3 linked regions of the Drosophila melanogaster genome follow. The protein of the gene in region 1 interacts with the protein of each later gene in a pairwise test. Each region holds a gene or a part of one and is shown in the gene's direction. Other genes may lie near its edges.

Region 1 (5,072 bases):
CATATCATTGCTGACCGCCGTATCAATTGATAACCGCTTTTCCGCTGAGTAATTGTGTTCCCTAGAAATTCCCAGACAAAAACAAATCAAATATGTTTTATTTTTGGCAATCCAATAGCATACACTGAACGTAAAAGTGTTGACAAACAAATGTGTTCGCCGCACGATCATTAACCGCAGAATTGAAATACAATCTGCGGTTTTTGAAGTGTTTAGCCAGCAATATTGTGGTTTATTTTTATCACGACATAGCTATTTTTGGAGTAATTAGGCACAATTATTTTAATACTAAAGGACAGATAATAAAATTTGTCACTTAAAATGCCATTATCAATTAAAAATAAAACAATAAATATGTCAACGGCAAGATGGTTGTGTTTAGGCTATTTCGGTACAGTTTATTTTCGTCTATTTCTAATCAGTTGAATTATTCGTGTTGTTCGGGCTATACTCGTTAGATTTGATTACGCACTTTTATTTAACGGGCGTCTTGATAGGATGGACAGCCCACATAATAACGACCACGTTTATGGAACTTTTGCATTGACGCAAAAGAGTGGCCACGCCCCTACACTTCATGGCAATTAAATGGCACTTTGGGTGCAGAAATTTAAGGGCGGAAAAAATGCAAATGGCCAGACATGTGCGTGATGCTTTTATGGTCGTGTTCCTTTTGTTTTACGCGGCGTACACGTGTCGGCAATTGAAATAGAAAAGCGACCATGGCCCAGACACCCACGAGCCCATTAAAATCACACATAAAGAACATGGCAAAATCGGGGGGAAGCGGTTCCGCAAGGGGGCCTCCAACGAGCGTCGTTGTCGTTGTCTCATGTGTTATGCTAATTTCTCTTTTATTGTTCGCTGCTCGGATTTTGCTGCCATTTACGACAGCAGCAGACGATTAAAGCCAAACCGGAAGTCAGCCATCGTTCCCCGTTTACCGTTAGTGTCGCAGGCGGCTGCGCCGGCAACAGCCAAAGGCCATTGAATTGCCTTTTCATTACGAAAACAGCGCGAAAGGTCGCTCGGAAAATGTATCTGTCAAGACAGTGGGTCTTCGAGCAGAAAAAATATATGCATATTGTACAGCAAGACCTCGCAATGTCGAACGTTAGTACAGAGCTTTCATTTAGGGTTTTAAAATTGTACAAAAATAAATGAATCTTTTATTATTTTAAACAACACTTCTTATATTATTTATATCTATTTTTTATGGTTTAAGAATCTCCCCCGTACTCTGTGTATATATATATAGCAACCCGTCAGCGCAAACACAACTCATTGAAACTCACAGCCATCGCGCAGAGGGAGAGGAAGCAAAAGCAATCGGCCGTAACAAAATTTCCGACACGTGCGACAAAATTGCCTTCTATTGCGACGGGGAGGGGGGTGGAAGTGGGAGGTGATGGCCTGGCCCGAGGGTCCGGATTTAGGCAACCAGAAAGGCACGACCAAAACAAACCCGAACCAAACGCAAAGCAGCTCTCCCCTGGGATTCCCCATTTTCGGGGCGTGTTGCTGGCAACAATGTTGCGGCAACATTTTTCGATTGATTGAGATGCGTTGGCGACTTTTGAATGCGAATGTGTGTCAACAGTTTTTCACTGATGCTATAAATAATTTTATTTTGGTGGATGCTCGAGCATGAGTGTGTGCAAATAAATGATTTGAACCGTTTTCTGTAGATAAGGCCAGCTATAGTAATTTGTTGATTACTCTGCGAGTAAAGTCAACTTATTATTTCGTTGCTTATCGGCTAAATTTGCTAAATTTAGAACTTAGAACTAATTTAATGTTAAATATGGTTTTAAGAATTTAATATGTTTGATTAAAAATATGATCTAACCAAAAATAAATTTATTTTTCTTTTTTTTTTTTTTTAATAATTTCCTAACACATTTGGCCACTTTTGTGGGGTGCGCAGTGAGTGCCCGCTGAGCTACTATTAAAACGACGCTCGTTCGTCGGACCGCGTTCATTCTGCTTTGGGCGGTCGAGGTGTTCGTCTCGCAGTTTGGTCAAAAAACTGGAAAAGCTACGAGAGCTTTGTATTTCGCGCTGAACACGAGCGTTTACGTATTTTGCAGTCGCACTCGAGTATTCGCATATCCGTGTTTGTTGTTTGCCAGCGCGCGTGTGTGCCACTGTGTGTGTGTGTGTGTGTGTGCGTGTGAGTGAGTGTAGCTGTGTGTAGTGGTGTGACGGCCACACGCGCAACGAAAGCGAAAGTTTTGTTTGGCGCGCGTGTTGCCATTGGCGTCTGCGAATTTGCACACACACGTTCCCTTACCTAGAATAGATTAAAAGCGTGTGAAAACAAATACGAAAAAATACAGAAAATAAGAAGAAAAGATAATGTTCATTATTCCCAATGAGGGTGCATTAAATTAAGGGTATCTAGAGCGGAAGAAACACGACATCAACATCATTCCCGCAGCGTCTGGGTAAGTCGGCAGGTCTCGCGAAAAGGTTTGCCATAAATCTCCCGGCATTAGCATCAGCATTTGTGTGCCACACGTGCGGTGCTAAATAATAATACAAAGCCAAAAAAAAAAAAAAAAACACAAAATTGCACTTGACAGCCGACTTCCGATGCTGAAAGCTCTCCTGCCAACTAGAGAGGTTGTCCTCCTGTTCTCTGTATTTTTTTTTTTGCATCCCCCCTGAATTTCCTTTCCCCGTATAGGCGAGATTTTTTCAAGCTTCGTGCCTCACCTTCTGAAGGACGAATTTAGGTCAGGATCCGTGGGCCTTATCACATGACTCATGGCGTGTCCTTTGGCATTTGGGCTTCCTTGTGCTGCGCTTGCATCTGCATTTCGGCGGGCCACATGGCGTATGCGCAATATTGATTTCTTAAGCTCACTAACTGTGACCTTTAAAGCTCGTACTTAAAGTAATTTACAAATTACGAAACAAACTTATGTTAACCAGATTTAAATACGGCTTACTATTAAAATTAAAAAAAAAATAAATGCTCTCTGCGACTGTTTTATTATATACCTCAAATACTCGCGGGAAATATAAAGCATAAAGTTCGAATAATGTTTTGGGCTTCAGGGACTTTCAATGTTTACATATATTGCCAGACGCACTCAATTTTCGCAAGGGAAACAAAGTGTAACTTAAAGAAAACAAAACTTTAACATGTTGATGTGTTAGCCCTTTATTTGTTTCTGTGCTGTCGAATTCCAAGAACTAAGATAAAAAAGTACTTCCTTCCTTTACGTAAATATGTTTTGGTTTTACATCAGCCATTAAGAGTTCGGTCAAATCGTGTGAAATATTCTTGAAATAAGCACAAAGTAATCATAGAGCTTTGTCTGCGATTTGAAAGAAGAGAAAAGTAGGGAGATTTTTCTGGGCCACTTTTGCAGCTGGTTTTTACGGCGTACTAAAAGAAGCGATGGCTCAGCTAAAGTGAATCAAGCTCAAGCTGTGATCCACAATCGACAGCTGTTTGTTTATTTATTTTTTTTACTCACTCTGAAGACTTTGTATTTGCCTAACTACGATTACTTCAAGTCAGTGAGAAACAGTGCAACGAAATGAGCTTAAGTTCTGGGTATTATTATTATCTTCGGTTCATTGGCACTATTGAACCCATTTATTCTGGGCGTATTTCCAACCGGAAATTGCTTTAGGCAGTCGTGGACATTAAACAGGTACCGAGCATATCTATATCTCTGATAGGTAACTCTTGCGCGTGTTTCGGGGGGGCCGCTCCATTCATGACACCCCATGACGCCCATAATCGTAGATTTATCATTTTTGCTCGAGCGCGCGCGTTCCGCATTACAGCAACAAACAAAGCAGTAAAAAATTGGAAAAAATATTAGCCCCATCCGATATATAAATATAAACAAGCAACAACACGGGCGAAGGCAAAAAGAAAAAATAAATAAAAGACAACAAAATATATATGTAGAGCTGATATGCGGATCGTCAGCTTTGGCCCCAAATGTGGAGAAAAGAGAGCGCGAGTTACCACCCCACCCCCTAAACCCCCACGCCTCTAAACAAATCATCGGACACTCAACCGGGAAGACGGCAACTGGAACACCGCATCCGGCCGAATGCTGACATTCCGGCCGAATGCTGACATTACACAAAAGTCGCACTGCAACATTGTCCCCAGCTAGCCAGCCACATGCCGAGTCGGCATGTTCATTATGCTTACAATTAAGAACCTATGTACTTATGTATAAGACGAAAACGGAGGACTCGAGTAGCCACTCTCTGACAATAAACTTCATACTGATTTTGAACTTCAAGAAAGTCAGTCGTATTCTTTATTGGAAATCTTCACACTACAACTATCTGCTGAAACTTAAAAACCTTCATACATTTACACATCATATCTTCACAAAAGGCTCCACCCTCGATCACGGACTTAACTGGCGCAGCCGGTAGGATGTCCTACCTATTAATAATTACCTACCTGTAAGTAAACATGTAAGAAACGAAACAAACTATATGCAAGATGTCGACTGAAAGTGACTAGGAACAAATTTTTATAAAACAAAATTGAAGTTGTGAAGTACCAAATGAAACTCAAACATATATTCAAACACAGGAAAAAAAAAGAGAGAGGAAAAATGTAAAATAAATAAATATACAAAAAAAAAGTGCAAGTGTACCGTACTGCCGCGCTGACGTGGAATCTATCGCTGATCATCACGCCATCGGTATGTCCATACTCTGCCGAACGTCATAATTTTTTTAAAAAAGTGCAAGTGTACCGTACTGCCGCACTGACGTGGAATCTATCGCTGATCATCACGCCATCGGTATGTCCATACTCTGCCGAACGTCATAATTTTTATAAAAAAGTGCAAGTGTACCGTACTGCCGCGCTGACGTGGAATCTATCGCTGATCATCACGCCATCGGTATGTCCATACTCTGCCAAACGTCATAATTTTTATAAAAAAGTGCAAGTGTACCGTACTGCCGCGCTGACGTGGAATCTATCGCTGATCATCACGCCATCGGTATGTCCATACTCTGCCAAACGTCATAATTTTTATAAAAAAAGTGCAAGTGTACCGTACTGCTGCGCTGACGTG
Region 2 (3,545 bases), 320 kb from region 1:
TCGAGGAACATCTGATTGCCAAGACTGTTCTAGAGTATGAAGACGCGGAGACGAAAATGAAGAAAGCCCCATATGATATTTACAATCGGGAACTGGAGATTTACGAGCAAGTGTTACCAAAATTGCAGGAACTAGCCGGCGAGCAACTATGTCCTAAAATACTACACATCGATCGTCAAAGAGGAGCACTCATAATGGAAGATCTGAGCTACAAGGGATTTGTGATGGCCCCGAGACTTCAGAGATTGGATGAGCAGCATGTGAGTTTGGTTCTTAGGAAGTTGGCCAAAATGCAGGCAGCATCAGCGGTTTTGGAGAACAATCTTTTGGAAAATAACTTCTCTCTCACTGAATACGATAAAGGCTTCTTCAATAGGTATACAGAAAGCTTTAGTGCCTACTTTCTGGGCTGCCTCAAGTCCTGTGCCAATTACCTTAAAACTCAGGCGGGTTATGAACACCACGCAAAACTATTAGACGAACTGGCTCCCTATTATATGGGACTAGGACTCCGCTGTTTTAAGCAAGAGCAAACGCACATTAATGTCCTTACCCACGGCGACTTGTGGACAAACAACATGATGTTCAAATACGAGGCGGGCGTGCCGAGCGATGTCCTTCTGATTGACTTTCAGTACGCCTTCTGGGGTTCGCCCACCCTGGACATCCATCATCTGCTCAACACGTCGGCTGTGGAGCAAGTGCGGAGTGAGCTGCAAATGAAGATGAGAGGTGTCTATCACGATGTCTTCGTGGGGGAGCTGCAGAGACTTGGCTTCAAAGGTCAAAGGTTGCCCAGTCGAAAGCAGTTTCACCTGGAGTCAGAGCAAAAACGATTTTACGGTGGGTAAACTTAATTTCTAAGAGATTAGCAAATGAATATGCAAACAAAATATATATACTTCCAAGTCTTTCGTACTTTTTTTTTTTTTTGAAATAAATAAAGTGATAATCTATATTCCTTAAGCCGTTCATTGTGGCCTGCTGCTGCTACCTGTGCTGCTAAACACCGATGAAACTGATGCGGATTTCGCCGCCCTACTTTCGGATCAGCCGCGTGGAATGGATATGAAAAGGCGGCTGTATCTCAACCCTGGCATCCAGGACTCTATTAAGCAAATGGTGAAGCATTTCGAGCTGGAAGGGCTCCTGGATCCGTGGCAATACGAAGGCCTCTGAAGCTGGTGGAAGCGGATTTTCCGCTTTTTTCATAAACTCCCCCATTAGACATTTCAATTAGACGAGCTAATAAACATAAAACATGGCAGCCACAGCCGCAGGCATTTTAAAGCCAGCCGTCAGAGGCTTTTGAATTATGAACCGAGTTGGTACTCGTGGAAAAATATAAGGAGAAAAAGGCCGAAACGAAAATACATTCAGTTGGCCTAGACAAAAGCGCAACACATTTAGCTGCTGCGAAATGGAAAAATGGAAGGTCGGAGGCGACGAATGGAAGGGCGAGGATAGTTACACACATTTTTTTGAATTGTTTAGCATTTTGAATGAGTGAATGAATGGAAGCCATGCAAAGCTGTGAGTGCGTGTCTGCCGCAGAAAATGAGTCTGAAAAGAAATGGAAAATGTGAATTTTGATGTGGATAAACGAAAAGTCGGACTAAATGGGGTATTCTGCGCGTGCTCCTGGCCTTTGCTTAATTAAAACTTTGGCGCGAAATGGTGGGCCAAGCTGTTGGAAAATCACCAAATTATGACGTGTCTGCCGCTGGCGTTGCTTTATTCACAACTGCATTAAAGCTGAGTGCAATTAGGCTAAGCTATGCCATTTAGCCCGGCCTGCGCCAAAAACTAGGCAACCGTTTATTATACTTAATGGAGGAAGAGGAAAAACAGAGGTAATTTCTATAAGAAAAAAAAGAACGGAGCTGATTCAAAAATATAAATTTTTAAATTTTCTATACAAGATACCATTTTGCGGCTTTTACCTTAATTTAAGGTCGTTTTTGTAATGCAAACAAAAAAAAAATCGACTGGCATTTAGAAAGCCGGCGGCGTTACACAATTTTGATTGACAATTAGATACATACATTAAATTCTCATTTGTGCAAAATGGCCGCCCAGGTAAGTCAGGTGCAGCGGTTCTTCAACGGCTACAAGCAGGACATTAACCGATCACTGCGCGATGCGTCCAAGCCGTGGACCAAAGCCTTTGATAGCCTGGAAGAGAAGACCGGTGTGGAGAGGGTGAATATTTTCGTGGGTAGTATTTTGTTTTGCGCTTTCTACCTGGTCTTTGGCTGGTGCGCTCAGCTATTGTGCAACATCATTGGGGTTCTTTACCCTGCTTACATTTCCATCCATGGCATCGAGTCCAGTACGAAGCAGGACGACATCAGGTGGCTGATCTACTGGGTCACTTTTGGCATCTTCACTGTGATTGAATTCTATCCAAGTCTGCTAACTTCGATGATTCCCTTCTACTGGCTGTTGAAGTGTACTTTCCTCATCTGGTGCATGCTGCCCACCGAACGGAATGGTTCTACCCTTATCTACCACAAGCTGGTCCGACCATACTTCCTGAAGCTTCACGATCCCGTCGACATGATGTCCGCTGGAGTGCCAAAGGACGACTAGGACAAACATTTGCGTTAACTCCATGCATTTGGTTTACGGTCTGCAAAACAACCTCACCTCGTATCGGATACATTTCGCAATAAATTTTAATGATGTATTCATTTTGTTGTTGGAAGGAGCACCAGTGGTCGCTGAATCCTAAAAAATCTATCCTGGTTAAAGGTAAAAATGAAATCTCACCACTTGCGCGGCTGCTTTTGTGGACTCGAATTTAAACTCGAAGAGGTATTCCGGCTCAGAACGGCACTTCCATCCTTTAAGTGACATTCGAAAAGAAATTATATATTTTGGAAGTTTCACAGTGATAATGTATGGGGAAAATCTGAATAAAAGTCTAGAAAGTCTATGCCTAATGCAAGCCATTTACCGATTGTGTGCCATTTTGTAGGTGTGCTTGTGTGTGTGTACCTCCTTGTGTGTATGAGTTTGATATCTCACTGAGAGACGTCCTCGAATGCGAAATAAATGTTGCGCGTAAAAAGCATCCCGATGCCACACATATTTTGTCGCTGCTCATTGTTCTTTTTCCGGTTCTTACTCGAGTCAATTTCAGCTTTTTTTTATGTGCCAGTGCATGTTTGTCAAATATATTTACAGAATAATAAACATGCTGGAAAAATGGCAAGTTATGCAACTCGAAAGAATGCATCAATAACATTTGAAATATTTTACATTGCGTTATAATAATTTTTAATAAATATTGTTTTGCATATTTTGAACTTATCACTTAAATTGCTTTCAATATTTTATTCGCTTACATGAATACTCACTTGAAAAAGGTGCAAATATGGTTTATATTTAATGGAACCGTGAGTACTAACTGGATAGCATAGTTTTTTCACTATTGCCTTTAGTTAAATTTTGCAATGTGTAATGTTTTTTTTAAATGAAAATACGAGCTTGTTGCATTTTCCTCACTTTAAAATGCCAGCATGTAAACATGCTGAATTTTT
Region 3 (3,381 bases), on another chromosome or scaffold:
AATTTGATACGTTTAGATTGAATGATGTTTTTTTTAATTGACTTCCTCGTTAGGTGAAGTTATTCCACATCCGTTGGATAGCCCAACCTGACCGATGCAAATGCGAATCAACGTCTGAGAGCTGCGATGGGTGGCGGGCTCTTATTTATGGGAAGAAAACAAAACAAATCCAATCAAATCGAAATTGCAAAGACAAACGTAAAATAAAAAAAATAAAAAAAGGCACAAACACAGATGCTCGGCATTAGCAAATAATAGGGATTTGTGGGCGGAGCGGTGGGCGGTGGGTGGTGGGTGGATAACAAAAATAGCTTGAAACTAATCGCCGTCGCAGCTGTAGAAAACAAAGCAAATGCAAAAGTCAATAGACAGTAGACAGTAGACAGTAGCGAAATACAAACGACATTATTAAATTCCCCCGTAAAGTCGTGAAGTGGAAGCCACCCAGCCATCCGATTTGACTTATCGCGACCCCAGTGCGACCCGACATACTCATCACATAACCGCCTACCAACTACCGGCAGCTGTCCCAAGTGATCCGACTCGCTTTGGATGCTTCCTCGACTTGGTGATGGAGATGGTGCTGGAGATCTTGGTCCCAGGCGGCTAATTAAAACGTACCACCTTATTAAATGTCTCGGGGACTTGGGCTTAAGATCACTGTTTCAATTTTTAGAGCTTGAAACTATTCTTCCTGTACTTCCATGCTAATGCTAATGCATTTAACTGAGGCTTTATTTAACTTACTGCAATTTTGTGGCCTAGTAAAATATACATCTGTGTATACCCTCAAAATGAAAAGGCAGAACCTTTTACTGCCTATTTCTGTTTCTACTAGTAAGTAGTAATGAAAGTATAAATCAAACAATTGGTGTCAAGCGTGGCCGTGCTAACAGCTCTAATGCTAATTCTGCTTTTTGCACCTTACGGCAATTTTTAAAGTGCTTGATTAGTGATTATTTAGTCACGTGTGTCTAGTAGGCAACGTACGTCGATTTTGTCAAAGCTTAAAAGGTTGGAAATGAGTCATACGCGTACAACAAATCTTTATACTAATTCGGAAAACCTCAGTTCTTAACAAACAAATAAGTAGGTTATTTTACGCAGGCCAATTTTCGAATACTTTTTTTTTTAGGATCGTTTTAAGATGCGCTGAGTTTACAACGATTTATCAAGTGACCTGGCACAAAAGAGATAAACGCACGTTATCAGCAGACGCAGACTGTCTACAGGAATGTGCCCTTTTGCAACCCCAAATAGACGTCATCTTATCGTCATCTTCGGCATTAAACTGCAAACCCAGAAATGGCACTCCGAGTTCCAAGAAGTGATATCTAAAAAAAGGGAAACAAACGGAAAACAAAAGATCAGTGCCACACACACCTTATCAACAGCAGGATACAAAGGGAGTTGGACAAATGAGGCCGCAAAACACTTTTCGAATAGAGGCCAATTGAACAAGAGTAGCCCAAAATCCATATATGTATATATATATATGACTTTTACAAAAGGCGGCGACATTGAAAAACACAGCAGATAATAGATTTGAAAGAGGAACAAACACGAATTGAATGAACCCAGACAATCGATGGGCGCGCATTTCGCCACCTACTGATCCGGAAAAACTCGGATTGTATTGTATCTGAAATTCAAAAGATCCCAGCTGAACGCACGCAAGAATAAACATGACCAGTAGATAGGGATGCCCAACGGGTGGGCTTACAAGTAGGTAAGTGGGATGGGTTGGGTTTTGGGTTTGGGTTTGGGTATGGGATTGGGTGGCATGTACGCGTGCGCAGGCAAATCGAGCGGGTTTATGATCTTGTTTTCGTTTTGCAAAAAGAAAATTCGTCGTCGATTTGTGTAAACAAAGTTATAAAAGTTGTGGGGGGATTACGAAGAGCGGCAGATAAGGCTTTCGCCATATAAGCTAGTGTACCAATCCACAGGACAGCATTCAATCGAGAGTCTTCGAGTAGAACACACATAGCATAACCATAGCATATCATACCATACAATGGAGCACCATCAGATCTATCGCCACAAAAAGTTCGACATGGGTCGAAAGATTGAGAAATGCGATTTGCAGCTGAAGGAAGAGCTAATCTCCCGGAGCGGCACACCCTGCACCAGTCGGAGTCCTTTCGATGCGGCAAATCAGTCCGTCAGCTTGGGTTTCAGTGATCAGGATGCTGACTTTCCTCCACTGCCAAAGCGTCGTCGTTTGGGATCCTCATCCTCAAGCGTTTCCTACCAATCCGCCAGCCCCATCATAACCGAGGCCATCCAAGACATCTTCAAGTACCACGTCAATATGGTGCGAAAATTCCCGAAGAAGGAGCGTTCACCGAAGGATCAGGAGCGCCGCAACAAGAACACAATTGCCTGCAGGATGAGTCGACGGAAGAAGAAGTTCGATGACCTGCAGATCGAACAGCAGTACAAGGAGTGCTCCGATGAGCACCTCAAGATCGCCGAACAGAGTCTGCGTGCCAGGGTCTATTTGAATCATCTGAAGCAGCTGGTCAAGCAGGAAGACCACCCGCTAGTATCCTCAAGGAGAGTTCCGGAGGAGAATACCAAGAGTAACTTTAGCATCGACTACCTGATAGGTGGTATTAAACAGGAGCATGCTTAGATACGTCCATCTCCTTTTAGGATTGTATTATATAGTTATTATATTAATGCTAAGTTGTTAAGTTTCTTCAAGAACTTTTAGTGCTAAGAAATTTAGTATATATTTAGTATAAATGCCTTAAAAGGTTAAGCAGGAACTTCTTAATAAATAAAATATGAGGATTTAATTTTTACGGCTAATTGATTTTTTATCGTGTGCTTGACTTTTAATCTTCCTTCTAAAAATGGTATAAATATTAATTTATGACATTGGCAGAAAAAGTAATCAAGCGCTAATGAAGCAATGAATATATTAAAAATATATATAAATAAATTTAATAAAATATAATAAAGCGTGGAGCCATCGAAATAAATCCCAATTAATCCCCAGGGGTAGTTCGCGTGGTGTCACAGGCAATCATCAGCCCCTGGAGCAAATCGTTATTGGTGACCCCATCGACTATTGCCTCCCCCCATGGAGAATATCAAGCCAGTCGGATAAAGTTCACTGGGTATTAACCCTGCACCCTGGTCAAACCACTGGCAATAGAGCCGTAAACCGATTGAAACCGCAGCTACGGGAATGTGGGCTTAAATAATAACTACTCCTATTCCCGTCCATCGCTCAGCTGTCATTGTCGCACTTAAAGTTAAACTAAACACTTTAGCTATTAGTAGCTACGATATTTTCAAATACATTGTAATCGAATTGGTCACGCTAAAGGCTTTCATTTGCATAACCCCTAATCCCTGTGGAAAATTTCA

The links.
Region 2: the proteins of Cipc (region 1) and CG4960 interact in a two-hybrid assay, tested with the Drosophila melanogaster proteins (one large-scale study listed by BioGRID).
Region 3: the proteins of Cipc (region 1) and Mabi interact in a two-hybrid assay, tested with the Drosophila melanogaster proteins (one large-scale study listed by BioGRID).

Annotation. Positions count from the first base shown.
Region 1 is NT_033777.3:26,104,896-26,109,967, forward strand, and holds the start of Cipc (clock interacting protein circadian), read left to right. Parts: upstream 1-1,972; 5' UTR 1,973-2,447; intron 2,448-2,689; 5' UTR 2,690-3,982; intron 3,983-5,072.
Region 2 is NT_033777.3:25,785,745-25,789,289, reverse strand, and holds CG4960 (uncharacterized protein), read left to right. Parts: upstream 1-1,991; 5' UTR 1,992-2,067; coding exon 2,068-2,592; 3' UTR 2,593-2,961; downstream 2,962-3,545. Other genes in the region: CG31380 (uncharacterized protein), read left to right, coding at 1-843, 968-1,179.
Region 3 is NT_033779.5:13,233,232-13,236,612, reverse strand, and holds Mabi (mabiki), read left to right. Parts: upstream 1-1,952; 5' UTR 1,953-2,017; coding exon 2,018-2,638; 3' UTR 2,639-2,815; downstream 2,816-3,381. UniProt on the Drosophila melanogaster protein: Plays a role in inducing apoptosis and is involved in the repair of head patterning defects in the embryo caused by extra maternal copies of the homeotic gene bicoid.